7 linked regions of the Ovis aries genome follow. The protein of the gene in region 3 interacts with the protein of the main gene of each other region in a pairwise test. Links are inferred from orthologs where the notes say so. Each region holds a gene or a part of one and is shown on either strand. Other genes may lie near its edges.

The links.
Region 1: the proteins of MEOX2 (region 3) and CNTNAP2 interact in binary tests that used the Homo sapiens proteins (3 or more experiments, as listed by UniProt). The link is inferred for Ovis aries from reciprocal best matches to the Homo sapiens genes MEOX2 and CNTNAP2.
Region 2: the proteins of MEOX2 (region 3) and SYT17 interact in binary tests that used the Homo sapiens proteins (3 or more experiments, as listed by UniProt). The two-hybrid records come from large-scale screens. The link is inferred for Ovis aries from reciprocal best matches to the Homo sapiens genes MEOX2 and SYT17.
Region 4: the proteins of MEOX2 (region 3) and CCNC interact in binary tests that used the Homo sapiens proteins (3 or more experiments, as listed by UniProt). The two-hybrid records come from large-scale screens. The link is inferred for Ovis aries from reciprocal best matches to the Homo sapiens genes MEOX2 and CCNC.
Region 5: the proteins of MEOX2 (region 3) and OIT3 interact in binary tests that used the Homo sapiens proteins (3 or more experiments, as listed by UniProt). The two-hybrid records come from large-scale screens. The link is inferred for Ovis aries from reciprocal best matches to the Homo sapiens genes MEOX2 and OIT3.
Region 6: the proteins of MEOX2 (region 3) and CIB3 interact in binary tests that used the Homo sapiens proteins (3 or more experiments, as listed by UniProt). The two-hybrid records come from large-scale screens. The link is inferred for Ovis aries from reciprocal best matches to the Homo sapiens genes MEOX2 and CIB3.
Region 7: the proteins of MEOX2 (region 3) and FUCA2 interact in binary tests that used the Homo sapiens proteins (3 or more experiments, as listed by UniProt). The two-hybrid records come from large-scale screens. The link is inferred for Ovis aries from reciprocal best matches to the Homo sapiens genes MEOX2 and FUCA2.

The regions. Positions count from the first base shown.
Region 1 is NC_056057.1:112,873,178-112,877,121, forward strand, and holds part of CNTNAP2 (contactin-associated protein-like 2), read left to right. Parts: intron 1-3,196; coding exon 3,197-3,396; 3' UTR 3,397-3,944. UniProt on the Homo sapiens protein: Required for gap junction formation. Required, with CNTNAP1, for radial and longitudinal organization of myelinated axons.
Region 2 is NC_056077.1:17,267,103-17,271,046, reverse strand, and holds part of SYT17 (synaptotagmin-17), read left to right. Parts: intron 1-914; coding exon 915-1,063; intron 1,064-3,944. UniProt on the Homo sapiens protein: Plays a role in dendrite formation by melanocytes.
Region 3 is NC_056057.1:25,058,933-25,063,660, reverse strand, and holds the start of MEOX2 (homeobox protein MOX-2), read left to right. Parts: upstream 1-1,849; 5' UTR 1,850-2,129; coding exon 2,130-2,643; intron 2,644-4,728. UniProt on the Homo sapiens protein: Mesodermal transcription factor that plays a key role in somitogenesis and somitogenesis and limb muscle differentiation. Required during limb development for normal appendicular muscle formation and for the normal regulation of myogenic genes.
Region 4 is NC_056061.1:37,538,720-37,542,663, forward strand, and holds part of CCNC (cyclin-C), read left to right. Parts: intron 1-865; coding exon 866-972; intron 973-1,781; coding exon 1,782-1,866; intron 1,867-2,054; coding exon 2,055-2,124; intron 2,125-3,944. UniProt on the Homo sapiens protein: Component of the Mediator complex, a coactivator involved in regulated gene transcription of nearly all RNA polymerase II-dependent genes.
Region 5 is NC_056078.1:28,185,430-28,188,630, forward strand, and holds the end of OIT3 (oncoprotein-induced transcript 3 protein), read left to right. Parts: coding exon 1-69; intron 70-1,511; coding exon 1,512-1,685; 3' UTR 1,686-2,313; downstream 2,314-3,201.
Region 6 is NC_056058.1:6,625,175-6,629,740, forward strand, and holds the start of CIB3 (calcium and integrin-binding family member 3), read left to right. Parts: upstream 1-1,491; coding exon 1,492-1,542; intron 1,543-1,786; coding exon 1,787-1,821; intron 1,822-3,722; coding exon 3,723-3,834; intron 3,835-4,566. UniProt on the Homo sapiens protein: Acts a an auxiliary subunit of the sensory mechanoelectrical transduction (MET) channel in hair cells. Plays a role in regulating hair cell MET channel localization and function.
Region 7 is NC_056061.1:68,140,561-68,144,504, reverse strand, and holds part of FUCA2 (plasma alpha-L-fucosidase), read left to right. Parts: intron 1-2,679; coding exon 2,680-2,867; intron 2,868-3,944. UniProt on the Homo sapiens protein: Alpha-L-fucosidase is responsible for hydrolyzing the alpha-1,6-linked fucose joined to the reducing-end N-acetylglucosamine of the carbohydrate moieties of glycoproteins.

The sequences.
Region 1 (3,944 bases), about 88 Mb from region 3:
AGTTGCCATTTCCTTCTCCAACATTCCTATAACCACAGCCACAATCAAGACACAGAACACTTCCATCCACTAAAAGTTCTCTCATACCCCTTTGTAATTCGCCCCTCCCCCACTCCGCTTGCCTTTGCCACATGGATTTCTTTTGCCTCTTTTTAGGGTTTCACAGAAATGGAATCACATAGTATGTAATTTGTTGTGCCTTCTTTCCCTCAACGTGTTTTTGAGAATCTGTTGACATTGTTGTATTACCAACGGTCTATTTATTTTTACTGCCAAGTTGTATTCCTTTGTATGAATGAAGGAGAGTTTGCTTTACCTACTCCCCTGCTGATAGATGTTTGGTTTGTTTCCAGGCTTGGGCTGTTTGGACAAAAGCTGCTATGAATATTCTTGTCCAAGTTCGGGCCTTTGTAAACAAAAGTTTTAGTTTCTCTGGTAATTCCTAGGAGTATAATTGCTGGGTTATTGTAGATATTTAACTTTACAGGAAATTGCCATATAGTTTTCCAAAATGGTTGAACCATTTTATGCTTCCATAAGCAATATCTGAGAGGTCAAATTGCTTCACAATCTTGCCAACACTTGGTACTGTCACTCTTTGTAGCCATCTCGTTGATGAGTGGTGGTAACTCACTGCGCCCTGTTTGTTTTTAACAGTCTCTTTCTGTTTATAGTATCTTTTTGGTTTTAATTTTATTTATTTATGGCTGTGCTGGGTCTTCTTGCTGCACAGGCTTTTCTCTAGTTGCAGTGGGGGTGGGGGGCTACTCTCTAGCTGCAGTGCACAGGTTTCTCATTGTGGCAGCTTATCTCGTTGTAGAACACAGGCTCTAGGGGCCCCAGGCTTCAGCAGTTGTGGCACGTGGGCTCAGTAGTTGTAGCCCCCAGGCTCTAGAGCACAGGCTCAGTGGTCGTGGCACACGGGCCTAGTTGCTCCACAGCAAAAGGGATCTTCCTGGCCTAGGGATCAAACCTGTGTCTCTTGCATTGGCAAGTGGATTCTCCACCACTGAGCCGCCAGGAAAGCCCCCTCACTGAGGTTTTAATGTGCAACTATATGATGACTTAATGAGCATCTTTTTCCATGCTTACCACTGTTTGCAAATCTTTTGTGAAGTGTCTATTTAAATCTTTCTCCTCTTTTAATTGGATTGTTTGACTTCTTTCTACTAAATTGTAAGAGTTCTTCTTGCATTCTCATTGTTTCATTTTTTTAGTGGTATTTTTTGAAAAGCAGATTTTAATTTTTCTAAAGTCCAACTTTCTAACCTTTTTACAGTTTGTGATATTTTTTAATCCTTTCTAAAAATCTGCCAACCCCAAGGTTGTAAAGATTTTCTCCTGTTTTCTCCCAGAAGTTTTATAGCTTTTGTTATTAATTATTCAGTCTATAATCACTTTGAGGGGCTTCCCTGGTGGCTCAGATGGTAAAGAATCTGCCTGCAATGTGGGAGACCCAGGTTTGATCCCTGGGTTGGGAAGATCACCTGGAAAAGGAAATGGCAACCCACTCCAGTATTCTTGCCTGGAGAATCCCCATGGACAGAGGAGCCTGGTGGCCTAGAGCCTGTGGGGTCACAAATAGTTGGACACAGCTGAGCGGCTAACACATACACATAGTCACTTTGAGTTAATACCTGTATATAGTATGAGATAAAAGTCAAAAATCATCATTTGCCAAACAAATATCTAGTTATTCTGAGATCATTTGTTGAAAAGAGTATTTTTTTCCAAGTTAATTTCCATGTTAGTTTTGTCAAAAATCAATTGTCTATATATTTGTATGTCTTTTTTTCTGGACTCTTTTGTTTTGTTGATTTATATATCTTTCTTTGACCAATATTACTCTTACTTTATTATTGTATCTTTAAAGTAAGTCTTGAAATAAGCAATATAAGTTCTACAATCATTTTTTTTTTAACTATTCTGACTGTTCTGGGTCCTTTGCATTGCCATATAAAATTTAGAATCAGCTTATACATTTCTACAAAAAAATTGCTATTATTTTAATTGAATTGCATTAAATCTATGAATGAACAGCTTAACAATATTGACATTGAAATATGGTATATGCATCCATTTATTTAGGTCTTTAGTTTTTCTCAGCAAGGTTTTATGATTTTCAGTGTACAGTCTTGAACAGCTATGTTCAGTTCATTCTATTATAAGTGGCACTATTTTATTACTTTCATTTCCAAGTATTTCTTTCTTTTTTTTTTCTTTTTTTTCCCAAGTATTTCTTGCTAATATATAAAAATATAAATTTCCCCTTGCTAAATTTACTGTGAGTTCCAGCAACATTTTTTTGTCTATTCTTTAGTATTTTCTACATAGACAATCCTGTCATCTGAGAATAGAGTTCTCCTTCTCAATCAGTACACTTTTTGTTTCTTTTTATTTTATTCAACTGTCTAGAACTTTTAGTACAGTCATGAGTTAAGGGGATGAGAGTTGACACTCTTGCATTTTTCCATATTTCAGGAGGAATGTGTTTAATCTTTCACTATTAAGTGCAATATTAGCTGCAGATTTCTCAAAGATGCCCTTTTTCAAGGTTGAAAGTTTCTATTGATAGTTTCCTGAGAGGCTTCATGATAAATGGGTGTTGAAATTTCTCACATTTCTTTTTTAGTCATGTGCATTTATTGATAAAGGTTTTTAAATTACATTCCTTTATTTTTAAATGTTAACTCAACCATTACATTCCTAGAATTAACACCATTTTTGTTATAATCTGTTCCCCTTTACATATTGCTGGGTTTGATTTGCTACCATTTTATTTAGGAGAGACACTGCTCCCTCATTTTCTTGTCGTGTGTTTGTCTGGTAATGGTGTCAGGATAATTCTGGCCTCCTAAAACGAGTTGAGTGGTATATCCGGCTCCTCTAAGACAGACGTGTAGGGCTAGTGTTACTTCCTTAGGTCAAGCTCGTTAACTGTTTTTGAGGTCTTCTGAAGGCTTCCTGGTTTTCTGTTTCGTCGTCCTGTCAACCCCTGGGAGGAAAGTGTTGACATCTCCAGATGTAACTGTGGAGGCCGGCCTCCTTCCCCGCCCGGTGCTGCTGGTGGCGTTGTCGGGAGTTCCGTGTTTCCTGAAGGAGAGGCTCCTGGAGGGAGCCGTGCTGAAGAGGCGCGGGGTGCTGGCGGGCTCCTCGGCCGCGTCTAACCTCTCGCCCCTCTGTCTGTGTCCCCCAGGGGTCATCGCCGTGGTGATCTTCACCATCCTCTGCACCTTGGTCTTCCTCATTCGCTACATGTTCCGTCACAAGGGCACCTACCACACCAACGAGGCGAAGGGCGCGGAGTCGGCCGAGAGCGCCGACGCCGCCATCATGAACAACGACCCCAACTTCACAGAGACCATCGACGAGAGCAAAAAGGAATGGCTCATCTGAGCGGCGGCTCTTTGGCTCCGGGAAGTGGGGGGCGAGGGAGGGGGGAGCGTGGGCAGGGAGGAGGGCGCGGGACGGAAGCACCCGACTTCAGACCCCTGAGCACACCCTTCAGATATCAGCACAAGCCGGGGGAGGCAAGCGACGGCAAACTCCTGGAGACTGATGGCCACAAAAAAAAAAAAAAAAAAACTTTTTGATATTTCTTTATAGCTGAGTTTCCCCTTCTGTATCAAAACAAAAATAATACAAAAACTGCTTTTAGAGTTGAAGCGATGGTCAACATTTGTAGGTACTATCTGTCGAATATTTTGTGTGTGTTTAGAGAGGTGTTCTGAAAACCCACAGGAACAGGGCCCGTTTTCTACGATTTTCAGCGCCCTTAGAACGTGGATATTTTTCCTGGAGAAAAGTTGATGCACATGTACACGGCCTCCCGCGTTTTCCTCTTTTTACATAGAGTCAGCCTCTAATGGGCTGTGGTAGTAACTAGTTCGTGTTCATAAGATATTTCTCTGGTGTCCTGTGAATTGGAAAAGGAAAGGAAAGGA
Region 2 (3,944 bases), on a different chromosome or scaffold from region 3:
GTAAGGCAGGTGCTATTATTAGTCCCATTTTACAGACAGGGAGATGGAGGGAGAGAGAGAGACTTGCCTTGAGCCAGCCCTTAAGTACTACTTTGTACCCCAACCCACAAAGAGTGTACTTTCTATTTTTCCAGCATTTCTAATCTTTATTAGGAGAACATTAAGTTGTGGATGCTGCTATTGACTGGTGTTTCTATGCACTGAACTGTTGTTCTTAAATCATTGATTCTCAGGGCCATTTTGTAGCTCAGAGTCTTAGCTGCTGGACCACCAGGAAAGTCCCAAGAACCTTTGAGTGACATCGTTACAGGATATTTTTTCAAGATGTTATTGACATAGTGACTATTGAAATAACAAGATAATTCTTACCGAAAACTACTTGCAGAAGTTCTAATGCATTTAAACAGCCACGTGGTTCCTTCCAGACTGAAGACTGAGAGGTCCCATCTTGATGGCATCACCAACTCAATGGACATGAGTTTGAGTGAATTCCAGGAGTTGGTAATGGACAGGGAGGCCTGGTGTGCTGCAGTCCATGGGGTTGCAAAGAGTCAGACATGACTGAGCGACTGAACTGAACTGATCTTGGTTTAGTCAGGTGGTGCCCATGTGGCAATATCTTGAATAAGTTTACATATCCCTTCCCCAGCCCAGCCTCAGCTTTGAAATTATGCAAATTCTTGGCAGATTGTTCTAATTGGGAAATAGTTATTTACTTCACATCACATTTTGTGCAAAAAGCAAGACATTATTAAGAATTAAGGGCTATTGAGAATTTATTTCAAATTTGCATTATTCCAAGTTGCATAGACTGGGCCTGAGAGCAATTTCATCCTTGGTCTGTCCCCCATGGGACAGAGGTGCCAGTCCCTGGGGATTCTCTGACAGTCCCTGAGACCTCTTCCCTCCTACAGGTTGGCCAGCCGGAGCAGTGACAAGGACGGGGACTCTGTGCACACAGCCAGTGACGTCCCACTGACCCCACGGACCAACTCCCCAGATCGGAGATGCTCATCCTCAGACACATCTAAGTCTACATACAGCCTGACCCGGAGGATTTCAAGTAAGCCTCTCTGCTCTGACTGTCAGGGGTCCTGGCTCAAGTCAGCTGCCCCTTGGGGTCCATGAAGTACAACCCTGTTATCTGGGCCCCCAGGATAAAGGGAAAGAGCTGGCGTTCCCAGATGCTCAACAACACCCCCAGGGGGAGACATGAAGGACAGGGTTGCTTCTGGTGGGGGTGTGGAGTGTGGCGTGACAGTCCAGGAGACAGGATGATGGAGAGGTGACAGTGTGACAGAGGAGGGCATTGTACCTGATTTCTGCCAAGTTCAGGCAGAAGCAATCATTTTGATTGATTTTTGTTTATACTGATCACAGGTTTCATTGAATTGGCTCAGTTGGTAACGTTGTCAGCATATATCATTTCAGACCCCGAAAGGCAAGTGTTAGTTACCATGTTGCACAGCAGGGCCTGCAGATTCAAGTGACTTGAAGGCCCAGGTGGATTGTGTCAGTGGCTAAGTGCCAAGGGCTGGAGGGAGATAAATATCACCCTAGTGAGTGACAAATGGCAGCCGACTCTTGACCTGGCACTAGGGCAGGGTGGGGACTGGGGCCAGTTGGGAAGCCAGTGTCTTATTGAAGGGGAGCAGCTGCTACTCAGCTGTAGCCATGTGGGATTGTATTACCTGACCTTTCTAAAGAGAAACTGGCAGTCTGGGTTTTCATATGAAACTTCCTTACTTTTCAACCCAAACAGAATGTATCTCTGGGTTGAATATGGCCCTTGGCCCACTCTAGAGTGGGCACTCAGCACACACACACTCTGTAGCCTGGGTGTAGACCAGAGGGTGTGATTTGGGTGGGGAAGAGAAAGGGTGATAAAAAGCCCAGAGTCTCCCAGCCTCTTGTTACTAGCCAAGTGTGTCTCCTCTGTCTCATGCAGCTGATGTCTGAAATTCACTTAACAGAGGGAAAAGGCTTAAATTCATGAAACTAATCCACTCAGCTGGAAATGATTGAGATCTCTGATCTTTTCTGGGAGTGGATGGGGAAGAAGAAAGAAGTAAATTTCAAGAGCTTGAAATAGTGAAACAGAATGGGTGTCTGGCTTCTGTATCCTCCATCTTTTCATCTGTAGAATAAGAGGGCCTGTCTGCCCTGTGCAGCCCGCTGTCCAATACAGTGTCCACAGGCATGTAGCTGAATTGAGATGCACTGTATGTGTTACATACCCACTGGATTTTGAAGCCAGTATGAAAAAAGAGAGAATTTAGAATGTCTCACTAAAATGTTTTTATATTGATTACATGTTGAAATGATTGTATTTTGGATATATTGGTTTAAATAAAATATAAAAATTTCACCTGCTTCTTTGTACTTTTACATAATTGTGGCTACAAGAAAATTTTAAGTTACCTTTGTGGGCTTCGACGGACATGAGTTTGAGCATGCTTCGGGAGTTGATGATGGACAGGGAAGCCTGGCATGCTGCAGGCCACGGGGTCACAAAGAGTCGGACATGACTGAGTGACTGAACTGAACTGTGGCCTTGTATGTCTGTATCTGGTTCACGTTTTATTTTCTCTTGGATAGCGCTGGTCTAGATAATTCCTAAATCTTACTTCCAGCTCTATATAGAGATGACCGCGTTTAGCACACAGTTATCAGGGTGCAACCATGCACTGGCAAGGGCTCATGGTTTTAGACAACAGGCAGGTATTTGGGCAATCAACAAGATGCCACGAAAGAACAAATACTATGTAATTTTCCCAACAACAGGAATCTCATAGTCAGATTTCCAAGCATCTGCAGAGTAGGACATGGTTACCCAGGGAGCTTGAACCAGGCAGGTGTTGGTTTCACTTATACCAGATGAGTAAGTTCTAGAAATCCACTCCAGCAGAGTGTGTAAAATTAGCAGTACTATGTGGAGTACCTAAACATTTGCTAAGAGAGTAGATCTTATGCTCTTAACAGACACACAAAAGTAAGTAAATAAAGAAGGCAGGAGGAAGCTTTTGAAAGTGATGGATAGTTTATGGCATAGATTGTGGTGATGGATTCGTGGGTGCATACTTATCAAAGCCATCAAGTTGTGTAGATTGAATACCGACAACTTTGTGTGTGTCAGTCATACCTCAATTCAGTGCTTTGAAAGAGAAAAAAGTACCATGAGGTTATTGCTAGAATAGAGAGATGAGCAAAGAAGGCAACAATGAACCTGGGAGCGGTGAACTCTTCTGCTTAATGGGGAGGGGAGAGGCACCCCGAAAGTGACGAGCTGTGAATGTGAGCCTTGAAGGTGAATAACAGTTACCATTCAGTGCCTCTCAGCACATGCACGTTCTGTGCTGGGCTCTCTCCACGCATCGCTCAGTGAGTTTTCACCACCATCTTTGATGTGGCTGCTATGATTGGCTCCATGTTACAGATGGGAAAACCGAGTGTGTAAAATGTGCCTGGAGTCACTTGGCTCGTTACTAGAGAGTCACGTGGTTCACGAGGAAGTAGCTGGGTTGGAATTTGACCCAGACACTGGCCCCAGAGCCAACTCCGTGAAATCGGAGGCTGGGAATGGTTAGAGTCGGACCCTGGGGCCAGATAGGTGGGGCTTGGATCCTGGCTCCTCCTCCTACCAGTGGGGTGCCCTTTGGTGAGTTACTTAGAGTTTCTGTTTCCTCTTCTGTAAAGCGAAGGTCATCAGTTCAGTTCAGTTCAGTCGCTCAGTCGTGTCCGACTCTTTGCAACCCCATGAATCGAAGCACGCCAGGCCTCCCTGTCCATCACCATCTCCCGGAGCTCACTCAAACTCTCGTCCATCGAGTCGGTGAAGGTAATAGTCACTGGCTAATGCCTTGTGAGGGTTATGAATGTGAAAGTGTTAGTCGCTCAGTCGTGTCCGACTCTTTGCAAGCCCATGGACTGTAGCCCGCCAGGCT
Region 3 (4,728 bases):
TTCCCAAAACATATCGGCAAAGAAAGCCTTACCGTCAAACGCTTGCAGCAGGTTCCAGCTCAAACCCAGACTGAAAAGTTGAGCAGCTGGTGAACAAAAGTTTTAACCTTTTTTTTTTTTTTTTTTTAACGAAGTCTGCAAAACTAATTTCCCTCAAAATAGGGCTCAATTTCCGTTAAAGAAAGCAGCGCTAACAAATCTCAGAATTCCTGATCACTCCCACCCCATCTCACCTCTGAGCATTGGAAAACAATTCGAACTTTCACACGGATATAAAGGTTTATTGCAAAGCCACTATTCTCCAGGATACTTGAAAGAAAAAGGAGATGGTCAGGCTGAAGCCTGAGGGACAGGACTAGGGAAAAAGTTCTACCCTGGTGACATTTCTCAAAGATTAATCAATACATTTTCCTAATTCAAACCAGATGCCTGGCCCAGTTTGCTGTCCCCAATAATCCCATTAACAACTTCCAAGACCTGACCCCCTGTCCTCTGGACACCTGAGACAATGAAAGTAAGACGGCGACGCTCCTGGTGGCAAATTTGGGGTCCCGGGAGGGATAGGTGAGCGCCGATATTCTCCTGATGCGACAAGTCCTAGGCAAGGCTCAACTGTTCCCGCAGCTCATTATGCTCGGCCAGCGTGCGTGCCTTGTGTAAACGACTTGGCCCCTAGCAGACAGTGTCGCCCTTTAAGCATGTGGTAGTATGAAAGCCCAGCCGTCGCTCGCATTAATTCACTGGTGGCAAGTTTTCTAAGTCATTTTCTAGGATGCAAAATTGTAACCAGGGAGATCCGAACTTTAAGCGATACCAAAGTGTAATATTTGTTTGGTAAATGGAACCATGGCGGCGTGGGAGTGAAAGGGGTGCAATGAGCTGATTGATTTTTTTGAGCGGAAGAGAGATGGATTTCTGGAGGGAAACGAGGTGACAGGGGGCTGGCTCCTGAGGGAGAGTACTGGAAATGTACATTCAATATACACATCGCTTGTGACTAGGGTGAAATCGCTTTAGAATACTCCTGATCCAGGAAAAGTTTTTCTGGGCGGACAAGTGGCAAGGAAATGGAAGTGGGACCCGGAAATCGAGAGCGGTGTGGGGGAGGACATTTGAGGAAAGCAGGGGAAGAGACCCCACCTGGGACCGCAGGTGAGGATGCCAGAAGCAGAGCGTCTGCGACCGTCACGGCCCCATGCTTTCTTCCACCCTATCAAGTCTCGTTCCTTGCGGCCCTTTCTCGCCCGTGGGGAACTTTTCCTGCATCCTCGAATCTGGCGTCTCAGCGCTCTAACAACCCACCCACAGACACCAGCTGTATAAAAAAGCTAGAAACGCCACTGAGCCCATGACACGAGTTGATGCGAATTTGGAAAACCTTAATCTGAGTGCGCGCCAAACTAGCTCTGATTCTTTTCCTTATCCTCCACCTTTCGTGCTTCTCCACATTTAGGCACACCCTGTTTTTCTGCAGGTGACAGTGCCCAAGTGGCATTGACAAGACACCTTTCAGGAGAGAAGTGAGCAGGTGGGACACTGGCTGTGGGGTTGGAGCTGGCGGGCGCCACGGCGCGCCCCGGCCGGCGGAGCGGGAAGGGCAGCCGCTGCCCGCCGGGGCTCTGGTTTAGGCGCCCGGCTTGCCGCTTGCAGTCCAGGCTGTTGGCAGCGGCGGGAGGGCGTGGACGCGCTGCATGCGTCCAGCCGGCGATAGGAAGTGGAACTGGGAGCGCATTGCGCGAACTGAGCGGGAGTTTTGGAGGGAGTTTGCATGTGGTCAGCACTGGGCTCCTAAGCCAGCCCCCAGCTCACATTACACTCTATTTATAACCTCTCAGAGCCGTTTCCCCCTGAAAGCAGTTCTCTGGGACCACCTTCTTTTGGCTTCAACCTCTCCTGCTCTTGACATCTGAGTAGCTCAGAGGGAAGCTTCTCGAGGTCCGAGTGTTTATATGTAAAGGAGACTGGCCGCTAGGGCTCAGGACCAGGATTATCCGAGCTCTGACGAAACGCGGGCGGCTATTGCTTTGGGAGGGGGAAAAGTCACACGGTTTCCAGTGAAAAGTGACAGAGGGTGGTGGCGTTTGGAACCGTCGTGAAGTCTTCTGCCTGGAACCCGAGACTTGCATGCTATGGAACACCCGCTCTTTGGCTGCCTGCGCAGCCCTCACGCCACCGCGCAAGGCTTGCACCCGTTCTCCCAATCCTCTCTCGCCCTCCATGGAAGATCTGACCACATGTCCTACCCCGAGCTCTCCACTTCTTCCTCGTCTTGCATAATCGCGGGATACCCCAACGAGGAGGGCATGTTTGCCAGCCAGCATCACAGGGGGCACCACCACCACCACCACCATCACCACCACCACCACCAGCAGCAGCAGCACCAAGCTCTGCAAACCAACTGGCACCTCCCGCAGATGTCCTCCCCGCCGAGCGCGGCTCGGCACAGCCTCTGCCTCCAGCCGGACTCGGGAGGGCCCCCGGAGCTGGGGAGCAGCCCGCCGGTCCTGTGTTCCAACTCTTCCAGCTTGGGCTCCAGCACCCCGACCGGGGCCGCGTGCCCGCCAGGGGACTACGGCCGCCAGGCGCTGTCACCCGCGGAGGCGGAGAAGAGAAGTGGCAGCAAGAGGAAAAGCGATAGCTCAGGTAAGGGCGCGCCGGGCACCCTCGGCGAAAGGGGGCGGGGAGATGGGAAGATTCTCCTACTAGAGTGAGGCGGCGGGCGTTATGGGACAGGTCTTTTCCTCTCTGGCTCCTCGCCGCCAAATTCGGCGAGGCTGCTTTGGTCCTTTTATTTGGGGGCACGTGTTTCTCCGAGGGCAGCACTGCAGCCAAGTGCGTTAAGCTCTCCAAGATTCAAACTAGTTTACCAGAGGGTTGAGAAAAAAAGGACAAGTGACAAGTATGTGAAATCGATTGCGAAGCGTGACCTTCCATCTGAGCGATGGGGAGAGGAATGCACCCTGGGATGCAGCGTCCGCTGGGCGTGCGTGCGGGTGCCTTTCCTTGACTTTTCCCGACTCTGAATGGCTCGATTTTTCCCATCGTTAACTGGATTTCCAAATTATTGCACAACATTTGGAACTTGCAGTGGAACTTGGCAGAGCACATGAGAAAAAGTTTTAGTTTAGTTTTTTTTTTTTTAATTCTGATTTCAGAGTTCTTTAAATAGCACCCTATTCCAAATGGTAAAATTTCTCTTTCTTGGGGGAAGAAGATATTGTCTAGGAATTCAGAGGATTTTAAGGAATGTGTCAGAGAATGGCAACTAAATATACGCTCAGACCCTTGACGAAAGACGATTCTTTATTGTAGTTGTATTCATGTAATGCTAACCAAAAAGAAAATCTGAGTTTCAAAAGTGGAAAGTAAAATCCTCCTCCAGTTGAGTACTATCCGAAACAAGGATTGGGAAACTTAACAGCAACCAGGGTAGCGCTGCTACAAGTGGGTGTGCGTAGGAGGCGCTGATCTACGCGAGGATATCTTGAACCGCGTAGCGAAAGGGGAATCTTAACCAAACGCGAATGCTTGAAGGCACCCGCAGCCAACTAAACTTTAGCAATCCAGAGAAACTAAAGCTTTGCAGTCAACTGTCAAAGCCCTTACCTGTCTCTGTCCTAAAGAAATTGTTAAAAGATGCTTTATAAGGAGGGTATGAGCTTTCTTCAGTAGCTACGACGCAACCTGCGTCCCATCTTTTTGCAAGCTGTTGTTTATTTAATATAATATTTACGTATTTTCTTTCTTTGCGGCATTGGTTTTAAGAGCCCTGGAAGATAATTCCAGGTACTGATTTGAAAGACTGGATAATGTCTATCCTTTATAATAATTTAGATTAGATTTCACATGAATGACAGTGATTGAGCCGCATATTTCATGTTCTTTTTCAGCAGTGGTATCAATTATTCTTCAGTGAGTACGGAATGGGTTCTTCTATCTCAAACTTAGAATCTCACGTTTACATTCCAACGTCAGGGTGAACTTCTAATGCTCCATCACAAAATAGTTGATATCCAAAAAGGTTGCCAGCAGTATCATTCATTTTTAATGGTTTTTACTAACCCTAAGTGAGACACTCTTCAGACAGAGTGAAAAAGTTAATATAGCAAGAAGGCTTCCATCTTCATTAGAAAACAAGTCATTTTTAGAATGCAGTCATCCTTTTATAGGATCAGCATTTGATATCAATGTAACTTTTCTGGGATTAGATCTGAGTACAGGTTAGCCAGGGACGCTTTTGCAATTTACCAGAGGCTCTTACTATTCCTTGTACTTTCTGCAGTGAGAAACCTATATCATGGATTGTTTCATATGCTTCTTCAACTGAACAAACGCACCTAAGTTTCTTAGGACAAGCTGAATTTTCATATAGGCCTATGTTACTTTGATCAAGGAGAAATCAAGAAAGTGAGATCCAAGAACTGACTCCCTTCAGTTATTTTAATAGTGACTTTCTTAAGAAAATTGGTTATATTAATACTGCTACCGTCCTTTGGTGGGAAATAACCATATAACAAAATAAGTTTATCTTTTCATGTTGAAGTTAGTCATTAAAGTCCTGGAAAAACAAAAGTTTTCATCAGATACATAAAATATTAATAGATTACATCTTGAATGGGAAATACAGTTAATCATCACCAAGGGTAGAATCATTGGGAAGTTAGAATGAATTTTTTCTTTGATGGGATATTTTGAAACAACTCTTCACTGTCTAAAAGGAAATATATT
Region 4 (3,944 bases), on a different chromosome or scaffold from region 3:
TAAAAGGTAGTAACCTGTTGGGTCAAGTATTTTATGACACACTCATGTCTCTTGTGTGAATGGAAACTGCTGTGGGAGGCCAGCTGACAATGCATATCTAAATTACCAGCAAAACTGACCCGTTAGTTCTACTTTTAAGAATTTATTCCATATATTAATCAAATATACAAGGGTGCATTACAGATGTTCCTTAGAGCATTACTTGTAATAGTGGAAAAAATAACTTACATGCCTATCAATAAGGATTAACTAAATAATGATCCATCATCATGACATGCAACAGTTTAAAGGGATGCTGAATAACAAATTCACTGACATAAAACTTTGAGGACATAGTGAGTAACAAAAGCATGTTGTAGAGTATTTTGTGGGATCATGTCAATTGCCTGTCTATTTAAAAATAGACTAGGCAGGAGGAGGAAAATATTAGTAAAATAAATTCTGAAGCAATAACATGAATGGAATTTGTGAAGTGGGATACTCTAGTTAGTCATGAACAACTGAAAAAAGATGTACTTCAAATCTTAGGCACCATCGGATAGTTTCTTTGTCACTAAGAAAGTGTAACTATTACTGCCTATTAAAATGCTAGGCAAGAATAGTGACGAGGTGGGGGTGGGGAGAGACAGATCAGTAGACTGAGAAGGAGGGGATAAAAGAGCAGATTTTTTTTAGGGCATATTTACATTTATTAGTGAGATCATTCTCAGTGTCAGTGTTCCAAGAAATGTGAAAAATACTGTTTTTAAAGGTTACTTGTATTCTGTACTTCTCACAATATTAGCAGCCTGTTCAATCTTAGAATATTTTATATAACTTTGTTAGTGAATTTTCTATGAAATGTCTGAATCTTTGCCTTTTTTAGTTTACAATGGATTTTGGATAAACAAGATCTGTTGAAGGAACGCCAAAAAGATTTAAAGTTTCTCTCGGAAGAAGAGTATTGGAAATTACAGATATTTTTTACAAATGGTAAACTTCCCTTTTAATTGGTTGAAATGGTGTGGTTGGTTACCTCTGAATTAAATGTTTTTCTGTAGTAATTTGTGATGTACTGTTTTAGTCCCTATTTTACATTTTTATTTGCATGTATCTTCTTTTTTACAATTTATATATCATTTTAAAAGTAAAGTCTTTTGTGAATCTTACATGTCAGAGACCCTCAAGACAGTCCAAAAGTATTAATTTCCCAAAGCTTTTATAATGCATCATTAAACTTAATTTAAGACTGGCTAAAGCAGAGTACTTTGAGGATAAATGATTATTTGGATTGGCATCCCTTATTGGTTGTTCCTGTCTTACAAGTATGCTTTAGGATTTAGTGTTAGAAGGTCCTTGTTCTGCCACACGATGGCTTTGTCACAGAGTCTTTATTACTCTCTGTCCACTCTTATTGCAAAACTACCTCTCTGTTGTTTTGAGGGTTCATTTTGGGTTTTTTATCAGCTTTATTAAGTAATTGTTATAATGCTGATAAGTGTCTAATGATATCAAAAGCATTAAAAACACTTAGCAGGTAGAAGGGAAATAATCATTCAATCTCCTTGATTCAAGAATAGTTTTTACTGTGAGATAATTTCTGTTTGTTATTGTTTATGTGTAGCTATATATTTTTAAAGAAATTTGCAGCCCTAGTAGTAGACCACTGTGATCCAAGTAGAGCTGTACAGCATGTATAGGTTTTTCTCTTTGTTAAAATGAATATAGTCATCATTTAACAAGTAAATTATTGTTAAATGTTAATTATATCAGAAATACATTTAACTTTATTTCTCTTTTAGTTATCCAAGCATTAGGTGAACATCTTAAATTAAGACAACAAGTTATTGCCACTGCTACGGTCTATTTCAAGAGATTCTATGCAAGGTAGGGATGTGTTATTTTGGAAATATTTTATGTATATTTTAAATCCTTATCTAATGTTGATGACCTTATATAAGTGAATTATGTGTTTGCCAGAGTTATTTTTTCCCATATAAATATTTTCTATATGAAATGTTTTCATGTATGTTTTCTGTATGAATGACATTTACCTTCATTTAATCATATTTTAGGTATTCTCTGAAAAGTATAGATCCTGTATTAATGGCTCCTACATGTGTGTTTTTGGCATCCAAAGTAGAGGTATGAAATACTTTTCTGTTCTTCATCAAAGTACAGTCAACGTATATTGGTTAATCTATTCCAGTTTTCACATTACCTGTGTAAAAATAATAACAGATGGTGACTTATATAAAATACTGAAATTTGTACGGGATCAAAGAAATATCTTCTGCCTCTAAGACATTTATTGTTTGGCACTAAGGCGCATTGCATACATGCTATAGCTTGTCTGCTGTAAGCTGAGAACGTTCTTCCTTTTCCTCTGCCTGCGTCCTGAGTTCTGCTGTTTTCCCTTCTTGCCTCCTGATTGGCTGCCTAGTGGGTTGTGGGGAAAGCAGGCATTGGGGTGGTTATAGGTATTATATGCTTTCTAACGAAGAATGGTTTGGGTGAGGGAAAGAGAAAGATCAGAACTTTCAGCTAAGACCAAATCTCTGTTCACCTTACTTAGCCTTTACAGTATTTTTGAGAGAGTTCAGCTAAAATCCAGATAACAAGGCAGATATAATTAACTGGTTTTTATAATAATCCATTGTAATCTTTAGTAATATGAATCCTTTATATTATATTTTTATTTTTAGATGCTGTGTTTAGAATAGTAATTGTATTTCTGAATACTGAATGGAATTTAATTGTAAGTGGTAATTTAAGGAGGTAGAACCAACTCTGTTTCTAAGTTCTTTAATGGAAAAGAAGGTGTTTATAAAAGGCCTGTGTTATGGGGTGGCTTTTCCAAATATTACCATGTAATGGAATGTATCTGAAGGACAACCAGTGTGGGAAACTAAGACAGAAATCTTTATAAACTTCGTGTAGATTAACTAGAGTTTTAATTTGTCTTCTTTGTTAGATATCTTTTGTTACATGATTTACTGAATAGAACTCTTATAATAATTTACTAAGTGAAAGTTTTTGCCTGAAGAATTTTGGGTAGAATTATCCTGGAAGATGATGTATTCTTTCATATTTGGTTATAGCATTAAAAAAAATCTTTTAACTTTGACCAAATCTTTCTATGTTTTGTCCAGTTGTGTGAGAACTGTATTGAAATGTCATTTAAGAAATGTCTCAGGCATTTAAATTTCAGTTTCATTTATTACGGCTTGAAGTTTATATGAAACATATACTACAGGCATACATGGGTTCAAACACAATTAGATAAGGATGTAGGTTGAAGGTTTTTGGACAGGCTCTCATAGTTAGTTTCTTTTTTTGACTAAGGAACCAATTCTTGATTTTTCAGTTTTAAAATGAAGCTTTGGGGAAATCGCTGGTGGTCCAGTGGTTTGGACTCCATACTGTCACTTCCGAGGGCCTGGGTTGGATCCCTGGTCAGGGAACTAAGATCCCGCAGGCTGTACTGTGCAGCCAGAAAAAAAAAAAAAGAATACAGCCTTTTAACTTTATAAGGTTAGCTACAAATTAATTAAGACTATGTAAGGTAGATCACCTCATAAACCTTTTAGTTATTTTTACAGCAGGGGTATATTAAGTTCAGAGAATAAATAGGAACTAGTGTCCAAAGTCTTAAGGCCATACCATGGAAAGGAATTTGAGTCCAGAAAACTGGCACTGTCACTTTAGGGCTTGGTTTCTACTTTGGTGGTAGTGGTGGTTTAGTAGCTAAGTCCTGTCTGCCTCTTGTGATCCTATGGACTGTAGCCTGTCAGGCTCCTCTGTCCGTGGGATTCTCCAGGCAAGAATTCCTGGAGTGGGTTGCCATTTCCTTCTACAAGGGATCTTCCCAACCCAGGAATCGAACCCAGGTCTCCTGCATTGCAGGCAGATGATTTACCAACTGAGCTATTTACTTTGGTACCTTCCAATAATAATAAATTATA
Region 5 (3,201 bases), on a different chromosome or scaffold from region 3:
ACATCCCGGGATCACCTCGCAAAGCACTTTCAGGCCCCCGTCTTCAAGTTTGTGGGCAAAGACCACAAGGTGAGCTGAACACCTATACCTTACAAAGCTGCCTGCCCTCTCCCTTCATGAACCTGAGCCTTCCTACTGTCCCCATTTGTTCACATTCTAAAGCCTACCATTGGGACCTGTATGACCTTTATGAAAAATACTATAACACTGGGCGTCTAGAATCTTAACACCTCCATGAATGTCAGAATCATCTGCCCCCTCCCAATAAATTAACGAGGCTTGTTCAAAGAAAATATGATGTGATTATAATCCAAAATCCTTGTGAGCAGGTGTGATTGAAAAAGCCTGTGTAGTGGTCACGTGGCAAACTATATGGAGAGAATATTTGCAAAAAAGACAAATAATGAAATGTTCAGTGAAAACAGCATTTCACTGTTTTACATGCCAATTCAAATAATTATAAGACTATTATATACATATGAAACTTTTAAAAATTATAAATCCCAACTTTCAAGGCTCTAGGGAGATGTGTATAGTAGCAATATAAGTTGATATATTTTCTGGAAAGTTGTGTAACAACCTGACAATTAATTAATAATCTGACAATGTGTAATAACCATAAAATTATCAGTCAAAAATTTCAATTCTGACAGCTTCTCAGAAACAAAAATAAAAACATGGTTTGTTGAATGTGCTTATAGAGTACTGTTATGAGAGAGGCATTAAACCAGTGCATCAATTGATTCAATATTAAGCAGTTAATGTACAAAGAAATATAGAAAAAGGAGATATGAAAAAATTCTTGTCACAAAAAATTTAAATGCAAATTGAATATGAAACAGTTTTTTAATGTATATAAGTAAATAGAGGTTATAAGAGGCCATATATTGATATACTGTGTTAAGGTGGAAGGTTTTTTATTTTAGCAGAATTGCTGAAACACTTAAGCAAAGGAAAGTTTGAGGCCAACAGTTTTTTCCATAATGCATCTAAGTGTATTCATGTGCTATCCAGCTTCATCATTGTTTCGAAATAACTGCTAACCATGATGGCTAACCCTGATCTTCCTCTTCAACTGGGCAGCATGCATTGGGAAGTTACTTATAGGAAGAAGCTTGTAGAAAGAACTTGTTACTTTACACAGAAGTGGGTGGGACCCCATGTTATGCCCAGACCTTGATGTGATGAATCAAAATGTTAGTGTTATTAGACGTTGTCCTCACAAAGTTGTCTTTGCACGTGTCCAGGCACGGAGGCATAAGTTGTGGATGTCAGGTTTTAAATCACCCATGTGACTGAGTATGTTTGCCTCATTACTAAATGTGTGGATTTGGACAAGTTCCTTAACCTTCGTAGTTTCCTTATCTGTAAAATGGGGATCACATCTGTCTCAAAGGGTGGTTGTTTAGATGAAATGAGATAAAACATATGAAACATTTGGTAGTGTCTGGCTTCCCCCACCTGGCAGCTGTCTTCACTGTTTTTATTCTTTATCATTGTAATCTTTCCAGGAAGTGTTCCTGCACTGCCGGGTCCTGGTCTGCGGGATGCTCGACGAGCGCTCTCGCTGTGCTCAGGGCTGCCACCGGCGAGTGCGTCGTGAGGCAGTAGAAGGAGAGGATGCCACTGGTCCACAGAGCCAGATGCTGACAGGCGGGCCGATCAGCATCGACTGGGAGGACTAGGACAGCCCATCACCCAAGTCCTCCTGCAGGCAGCCTGTCTCTCTGGAATTCTCCCCTCGCCTTCTGAGAGCATCAGTCCACACTCTAGAGCACCATGCTGCTTTGAACCTGACACTTCGGGGTTAGACAAACCCCCAGAACCGACTCACTCTGACTCCAGCCCACTGGGTCAGGAAAAGTCACCTCACTGCTGACCAGCCTGTTCCAGATGGAACTTCATCCTCCTAATGTGGAAAGCTGTGCCATGCACCCCCAAAACAGCTCACTCCCATGCTCCCTCATTTCTTTCCTGCAATAAAACACCTAGAGTAGGCTACAGTAGCACCACCACTAAAATCAGAAGTTGGGTATATCATTTCAAATTAGGAATTTAAAAAATGAAATAGTGGCTTGAACTTATGACGTAAATACCCACTGACTCCTTAAATATGTAAACAATAATTATACCCCAAAATTTCCATTCAAATACAGAATAGTTATAGGGGATTTGGAAGTTTATCACTGTAAGTATGTACTAAAAATAAACTATTTGGATTTTCTCCTGCATAATATTTTCCTCTGGGGTTTTTATGTTGTCTTAAGTAAACTATTTTCAATTAATAAATGTTAATAAATTCATTAACATGGATTTAAGTGGTTCAGTGACTCAACAGTAGACAAAATTAAAATATGGTAACATATGCCCTGTTATTTTGCATCCTGCGCCCTCAGACTGACAATAGAAAAAGCTATAAAGCTACACCATACTCTATTTTGTAGATGCTTAATACATTTTATCGAAGTAACTATCCTAAACCACAGAGATAAATGTTATCCGCAGTTAAATCCTCTTGCTAAATATGCCAGTTCATTTTATGGCTTTACAGAAGATCAGAAAACAGTTTTTCTACTTTTCTTTTTAGAAAAAGCTGCAACCAACAACTTGTATTGGAACCAGTAACATTAACAAAAGGAAGAAAAAGGAGAAAACAATCTAAATCAGGGGTTGGCAAACTTTTTCTGTAAAGGGCTGAAGGGTAACTAGTTTAGGCTTCCCTGGTCGCACAGGCCCTGCTGCAACTACTCAGCTCGGCTATCCTAGCACAGGAACAGCGGGAACTTTACCCAAACAGGCGCTAAGCCTGATATGGCCCAGGCCTTTGTTTGTCGGTCCCTAACTTCAGTGGTCCTCAGGCCTCACAGTGCATCAGAATCATTGGGGAGTGTTTCTAAAATACCAAGATGTAGGCACCAGCCCCTGGAGAAGGCAATGGCACCCCACTCCAGTACTCTTGCCTGGAAAATCCCATGGATGGAGGAGCCTGGTGGGCTGCAGTCCATGGGGTCACGAAGTCGGACACAATTGAGCGACTTCACTTTCACTTTTTACTCTCATGTATTGGAGAAGGAAATGGCAATCCACTCCAGTGTTCTTACCTGGAGAGTCCCAGGGACAGGGGAGCCTGGTGGGCTGCCGTCTATGGGGTCGCACTTAGTCGGACACGGCTGAATCGACTTAGCAGCAGCAGCAGCAGGC
Region 6 (4,566 bases), on a different chromosome or scaffold from region 3:
GAGCAACTGACTCCCAAACTTTCTGCCCAGGAGGATTCTGGGTCTTAATAACATTGGCAGCTGCTACGTTGTACAGTAAGTTCTATACATATGAACCTTCAAGTTACAAACTCAAAGATGTGGACACGCATCTGGCTCCAGCAAGGAATCAGAATCGGTGCCATCGATGTCAGACGGGAGTGAGATTGCAGCTTGCCCTCCATCTCCTATTGCTGATAGTCCTCCAGCTTCACCACATCTCACCTCCTCTCCCTCCTCCAGTCGGCTACTCTTCCTGACTGTTCATTTGATGCCAGCCCCTGTATGCCAGCTATTGTACTGTACTACTGTACTTTTCAAGGTACTGTGCTGTAGGACTTGAAATGTTGTATCTTGTGTGTTTGCTTTTTATGTGCAATTTGTGTGAAAAGTATTATTACTGTATGAATAGTACAAAAAGCCAATTGTATTAGTTGAGTGCTTCGACGAACTTTGTTGGACTTAATGAATGAATTGGACTTAAGAACGTGCTCTTGGAATGAAATTCATTCAATATGTAGGGGAAATTACTGAATTTACCCCTTGAGAATACATGGTGCACATTAACATATTAAAGGGTCTGACAAGTCCGGCAATAAAGAACTATGGTGTTAATTTAACCCAAACTTAGACATTAGATTGCTTTTCTCAAGCCATAACATGCTCATCATCATCTCCAATGCACACCTCGTCTAGCTTGTTCACTATCATGGGTCTAGAACTGGCTTAAATTCAATGGTTACAAATATTTTTTTGTTGGTTGGGGAAGTTGAGCGAATGATCTCATTAGATCTTCAGAGCAACTCTATGTTATTGTTGTTTTGTCACTAAATCTTGTCCGAATCTTTGCGACCCCATGGGTTGTAGCCCACCAGACTCCTCTGTTCATGGGATTTCCCAGACAAGAATACTGGATTGGGTTGCCACTTCCATCTCCAGGGGATCTTTCCGACCCAGGGATTGAAACCAAGTCTCCTGCTTTGGCAGGCAGATTCTTTACTACTCTATGCGGTAGGTACTAATATAATTTCCATCTTACAAACAAGGCTCAGAGAGGCCAGGTGACCCGCCTAAGACCACACAGTTAGTGGGTAAAGAGCTGGAATTTGGCCTGAAGTGTGCTGGCAGCCTCTCCCCCACCCTGCCTGTTTCTCAAAGATGCCCCACACCCCCAGTCTCACTGGTGATGGCAAGTGTGGGCTCCCCACTGAGGGCTGCCCTGGGACCTCCCTAAGCCCTTCTCCTTGCCCTGATGGCTGTGGACATATACTCAGGCCGTTGCCCAGAGAGCTTGGCTGTAACTTGAGTCTCACCCAGGCTGGGGGTGATGAGGAGGGTGGGCAGGTGACAGCCAGGGCAGGGAGATTTGCCCAGACACTGGTGAACGGCGGCCTGGCAACCAGGGTGGCCCTGAGGGGATCGGGGCGGGGGGCTTCGGGAGCCTGTTCAAGAGTCCAGGCAGAGGTCTCCACTATGGGCAACAAGCAAACAGTCTTCACTCACGAGCAACTGGAAGCTTATCAGGTAGGGATGATGGACCAAGCCATCGGTGGGTTTGGCAGCCTGGTTGTTTTCTTGGCTGAAGAAATGGGGACAGCATCCCTTCATCCTGGTGGGGTGGGGGTGCAGTCAGCAAGAGGTCTTGGGGTGGCTCTGTGTGTGGATTCAGGCAGCAATGGGTTGTGGGAGAGGAAGGAGGCGCCCCCCCCCCCCCCCCCCCGCCAGGCATCAGGCAGGGTCTGGGTTAAGCCAACATCTCTCTCCACAGGACTGCACCTTCTTCACGAGAAAGGAAATCATGAGGTCAGTCTGAGGAGGAAGGGAAGAAGAGCTGGGCACTTTATATGCTTTGCAGTTAATGGGGGAATCGTGTGCTCAGTTGGTGGATGCATGCAGAGATGGGAAGGCTGCTGAGAAGTCCCATCTGGTCCTATTGCCACATCTCTAGGCTGACAGGCTTGGGCTTTCTCCGAAAGGTGGCAGGGAGCCATAGAGAGTGTGTGAGCAGGGGCGATGTGGATCAAAACTTCCCCCTGAGGCCCAGTGAGAACAGGCTGGGACCCCAGGGGGCAGAGTCTAGAGCCAGCTCTGGGCAATGGGGTTGACATCAAGGTTAGAGGGTGAAGAGGTGGCCCCAGGCTGCTGCAGGTTCCTGGTGTGAGTGAGACAGGCATGGAGGGGTTATCCTACAGCATCACTCAGCCCATGGAACCATTATCCAGATTCCGGACCCATGAACTTTGACCTGTGAAACCCAAGTTGGCTGGGGTTTGACTGCAGAGTGATCAGGGCCAAGGTCCCAATTGTGTGGGTGCAGGACATCCATTATTGATGGGCAGAATTTCCACTAGTAAGCCCCACCGTCTTGGCGAGGACAGTTCACAGGGTCACCCTGACCATCATGATCAGATTACTGATGGGGAAACTGAGGCTCACACAGGGGAGGCTGACCTCAGAGCCCTGGGTAGATGGGTAGGGCCCCAAAGAGTTTGAGGCTAACATTTTGTGCATCTCAAGCTTCTTGCTTCTCACACAGACCTACTGAGCAGAAAGGGGGAAAAGGGGAAGGGGGACTTACTCGAGGCCACATAGAAACCCAAACCCAGACTATTCTCTGAAGGGACCCAGCGGTGAAGTTCCAGATACCCCCCTCTTCCAGTTCCTAGCCATCATATGGCTTCTATCACCTTCTGAGGCATCCCTAACAACTTCAGGATCTCTGGCTCATCAAGGATAGTCTGTACAAGGTGACTGCTCAGCATGTTCCAGTGACGGTACAGTATCACCAGGCAAGGGCATTGGAGTAGACACTTGACCCCACCATCTAGGCAGTGTGTATGGCCTTTGCTGTTTTGCAAAATGCCTTTCATTTACCCCTTGGAGAAACCTGAATATTAGACTTTGTCTCTGGCGCCTTGAGGGAACTACAACCCCCATTATGGAGGCAGAGAGGGAAAGTGTGAGGATGAGGGTCTTGCCAACAGTGTGATGATGTCCAGCAAATCGTAGATTCACTCAGAGTCTCTGAATGCTCAGTGTGAGATGACCTTGCCTTAAGCACTCTCTTTTCTGTCAACCCCATCTGCCTGGTGAGCTCTTATTTGTGCTTCAAAGCCCAGCACCTAGCACCCATGCCCCCTCCTCCAGGAAGTCCTTCCTTCTCCTTGGCTTACTTTCCCCACTCCAGTTTCCCCTAGCTTTGTTTGTTTGTTTGTTTGTTTTAACATTTTAAAAGCAATGAATTGATTTTCTGGCTGCTCTGGGTCTTGGTTGCTGTGGAGGTTCATCCAGTTTTGGTGAGCAGGGGCTACTCTCTAGTTGTGATATGTGCGCTTCTCACTGCGGTGGCTTCTCTTGGGAGCATGGGTTCACAGGTGCGTGGGCTTCAGTGGCTGTGGTGTATGAGCTCAGTAGTTGCCTCATGGCATGTGGGATCTTCCCAGACCAGGGACCAAACCTGTGTCTCCCACACTGGCAGGTGGATTCTTAATCACTGGACCTCCAGGGAAGTCCCTGGGGTCCTGTCTTTACCTTGGCTTTGTCCCTAGGGAGATAAAGGTGTCCCTGTGTGTGAGGGCTGGGCCCAGGGCTGAAGGCTCAGCATCCTTCATTGTAGAGTGAGCATCTGTGAAAGGGAGAGAGTAGAGACAAGCCCACCCTCACTCATCTCCCAGACCTTCTCATTGTTTCCCTCCCCATACCAGGCTCTTCTATCGCTACCAGGACCTGGCCCCTCAGCTTGTCCCTCTCGACTATACTAGCTGCCCTGATGTGAAGGTGCCCTATGAGCTCATTGGCAGCATGCCTGAGCTGAAGGTATGCCCAGGGCCCTGGGGCAGGCATGGGAAAAAATAGAAGGGATGTCCCTTGTTGTATTTCTATGAGGTGACTATTGCAATTATTTCTATTTTACAGGTGAAGAAACTGAATTTCAGATAGGTTGAGACACTTATTTATGATCACACAGCTAGGACATGAGAGAGACAATTCAAACCCTGGGTTGTGGGAAAGATGAGATGAGATAATGCAGGTAAAGGGCTTAGCACAGGGCCTGTGACATGGCAAGTACTTAGGAACATTGCGCTGAGTACGTGCTGAGTCTCTTCAGGCATGTCCATCTCTTTACAACCCTATGGACTGTAAGCCCGCCAGGCTCTTCTGTACATGGGGATTTTCCAGGCAAGAATATTAGAAGTGGGTTGCTGTGTCCTCCTCCAAGGGATCTTCCCAACCCAGGGATTAAACCTGCGTCTCTTATGTCTCCAGCACCGGCAGGCAAGTTCTTTACCACTTGCGCCACCTGGGAAGCCCACTCAGGAACATTAGTTCTTCTTTTTCATAGTAGAAGCCATTAAAGACAGATTCTTCTCAGCAGGATGTTTGACACTGTCTGGAGGGGACTTGTGGGGTGACAGAGAATAGAGATTATTTTATCACAAGGACAGAAGCCTCATTCAAGAGGGACAGAAAGTGCTGTGCTTCAGAATCCCCCTCCATAATTCAGCTTCTCCCAGGACGAGTCTTCAGTCTCAGGCAGCCTGTTCTCTT
Region 7 (3,944 bases), on a different chromosome or scaffold from region 3:
CAGTTGCTCCGTCTTGTCTGACTCTTTGTGACCCCATGGACTGTAGCCCACCAGGCTCCTCTGTTTTCATGGGATTCTCCAGGCAAGAATACTGGAGGGGGTTGCCATGCCCTCCTCTAGGGGATCTTCCCAACCCAGGGATTGAACCCATGTCTCTTATGCCTCCTGCATTGGCAAGCAGATTTTGTTAACTACTAGCACCTTTGTTCAACTGGAAAGATTAGGTAAAGATACATTTGATGCTAGGAGAGGATTTGATGTTTGTTAGTTGAAACTAGTGCTCTGCACAAAACAATTAGTTTTGAGTCATCTTATTCTTTGTAATGGTTAACTTCTCGTTTTCTACAAATGAACACAAAGTTGTTTGTTTTGACCTGGAACAATAAAGATAATTCTCTTATAAAACAGAGTATATTTTTGATGGTCTGGAAGTGCAATAACCCTGTATAAGATTCTTAATTATCTATAGTTTCCCTTTTTATCTCCTCTAAATCTCTGATCTCACTTGATTTGACCTGGGGCAGTCAGCAGCAGAGATGAGTATATTTGACTATCCTTAATGGCAGCTCAAAAACAAATATAAATGGTGGGCTGTTTACTGTAAGTGCTTCTTCTCATCTTCTCTTCTCATGCAATTTGAGAAGTGACTCTAGACTATAATAGAGAATGCAGGTTCAAATTAGATGTGCTAGGAAAAAAATAGAAATCTCTTATCTTTTAACTTTCTGACTCTCCCAGTTTCTCTTTTGCAGTTCCATTTAAAAGATAAAAATGCATCATGGATCAATTAAGATCCTTTCAATTGAAGGTACAGAAAACTCAAATAAAAGGTATAATAATAGGAGCTTATTACTATACATAATAAGAAATTCAGAAGTACTTGGCTCAATGATGAAATCAAAGTCCTGGGCTCTCTGTCATCCTCAGCCTGTTGACTTGTCCTGTCATGGTGACATGATGGTGGCCAGGCATCACGTCACACAGCCTTGTCCAAAGGCAGATTGTATCTCTTTCTACCGGAGAGGAGACCATTCCCAGAATCTCCCAAGCTGGCTTCCCCTCCAGTTCCATTGGCCAGCATGGATCAGGTGTCCATGTGGGAGCTGTGATGGAAGCTGGGAAAGTATGTATCTGACTCTCGGGCAGGTAAAGAAGAGTGCTTGTGACACAGTATGTCCTTCAGCAAAGCCTTCCCAGCAGAAAGAACCTCCTGGCCATCTTTGGAGTGCTGATTATGAATTTGTTCATCCAGTAGACGGAGAAGGCAATGGCACCCCACTCCAGTACTCTTGCCTGGAGAGTCCCATGGACGGAGGAGCCTGGTGGGCTGCAGTCCACGGGGTCGCTAGGAGTTGGACACGACTTAGTGACTTCCCTTTCACTTTTCACTTTCACGCATTGGAGAAGGAGGTGGCAACCCACTCCAGCGTTCTTGCTTGGAGAATCCCAGCGACAGGGGAGCCTGGTGGGCTTCTGTCTATGGGGTTGCACAGAGTTGGAAACAACTGAAGCAACTTAGCAGCAGCAGCAGCATCCAGTAAAAACACTCTTATGAAAGGAGTAGTGAAAGGAAGAATAAAAGATGGGTGAGAGGGGGGACTTGCATCTATTTCATGACCATGGGCTTACTGCCATGTTTATATAAAATGTTTATCTAAAAATTATGCTTTGAGGATTTCCCTGGTGGTCCAATGGTGAAGACTCCGCACTCCCGGTGTAGGGTCCCAGGTTCCATCGCTGGTCAGGGAACTAGATCCCATATGCTGCAAATAAGAGTTCGCATGCCACAACTAAAGATCCTGCATGCTGTGACTAACATCCGGGGCAGCAAAATAAATAAATGAATAGTTTTCTTTTTTAAAGTTGTGTTTTTAATGTTGTTTTCCTTCTGAAGCTCTGCTTAGGCAGTTGAGGCCCCACTGCTCAGAATAAATACACATAACCAGTAATCCTTGAAGACTGAGTCAGTCTATTAAAATAACAGCATTTTCTTAATTTTACTGTCATTTCCTCCCCACTTGTTCCCTGCTAGTGAATATAATACATTTATGTTATATTTTATGCACTTTGTCTTCTTTTGAAGACTTCATCATTTGTGTTACAAAGGACTAATTATGTATACTCCATGTTGCAATCTAAAAGTGAAGAATTAAGAGCAAATGGGTGACTTGTTTGTTTAGACTGCTCTGGTGGATAAGCTGAGTAGAGTTCACAGAGGGATAGATGGAAGACTACGGAAGTTCATGTAAGCTTTCCTTAAGTGAAGTCAGACTAAATGGGGAAATTAGGAAGGGAATCTTAGTAACATCTGAATAAGGGAGAATTTTAGTAAAGGGAGTTATGGTTGACCCCTGAATAGCACAAGTTTGGTCTTCTTTTATGTGTATATTTTTCAATAAATACATAATTGGCCCTCTATATTCAAGGGATTTGCATCTCTGGATTTAACCAACCTCAGACAGAAATTTTCATCTATGTTTGCTTGAATCTGCAGGTGCCCAAACTGCAGATATGGAGGGCAGGCTGTAGTATGCCATTTTATGTAAGGGACTTGAGTGCTCACAGATTTTGGTATCTGCTGAGAAACATGGGACTCATTCTCTGCGAATCCTGAGGGATACCTATATTTCAAGTGTTTATGTGAATGCTACTTATATGCTGTTTCCTTCATCCCCTTAGGTGGTACTGGCAACAGGAAAAGATACCAGCTTATGTGGACTTTATGAAAAATAATTACCCTCCTGATTTCACATATGAAGATTTTGGGCCACTATTTACAGCAAAATTTTTTGATGCGAACCAGTGGGCAGATATTTTACAGGCTTCTGGTGCCAAATACGTTGTCTTAACTTCCAAACATCATGAAGGTAAGTAAGAACAGCATCTGCAGACACTGACAGTGGTTATAAATGTGAAGTAGTTCTTTTGGAAGAAGAAACTAAAGCAAGGTCATCCGCATGAAAACAGTTTTCTCTTAGGAGCAGTCCTAAGTGGCTACTGACATTTGCTTGTAATTTAAGAGATCACATGTTTCACCCAATTAAGAAGCATTAAGAAAAAGAAAAAAAAGGAGCATTAAGTATGCAGAAAGATCATACCCTCCACATATAGAAAAAAATGGAAACTGATCGCATTTTATTATGTGCATATTTAACAATTTCCAAGTAACGCAAGATTTTATTAAAGTCATTTGAAGGGGTATGTGGTTTGCAGGTCAAAGTTTACAACTGAACTGCATTCTTTCCATTTTCTTCTCACCTCTGTGATGCATTCTGGGAAGGTACTCTGGGGATTATTTGCTATTGTCTTACATTATGACCAACATACAAGGTGGTGCTTTTGGCCAACTCTTATATGACCCACTTGAGGAAAGTTTGCTATTGATGAAAATGACACAGGCTACCTGAAAGGAACAGGATTGCAAGGCTGTAATGACGCCCAGAAATATGAGAGATGGTGGAAGAATATCTAAAAAGAAACCGAGTGGTTGAATTAGGGTTCTCCAGAGAAATAGAGCTAACAGGAAGTATAATATGTATAGATTTATCATAAGAAACTGGCTCATGCAACTATGGAGGCTGAGAAGTCCAGACCCAAGACAGCCAGTTATATAGTTCCAGTCTGAGCCCAAAGGCTTCAGGAACAGGAGAGTGGATAATATAAGTACCTGTCCAAATCTAACTTAAAGACTAATGTCTCAGCTCAAAGACATACAGAGAAAACATTTTTTTTTTTAATTAAAAAACAAAAAACACCACTCCTTAAACTTTGCTGCTTTTTCTTTTTCTTTTTGGCTACAATGCCTGGCATACAGGACCTTAGTTCCCTGACCAGGGATTGAACCCATGCCCCTGCAGTGGAAGTGGGGAGTCTTAACCACTGGACCACCAGGAAAGTCTGAAGAATTCTTTCTTAATCAGCCTTTTATTCTATTTAGGCCTTCA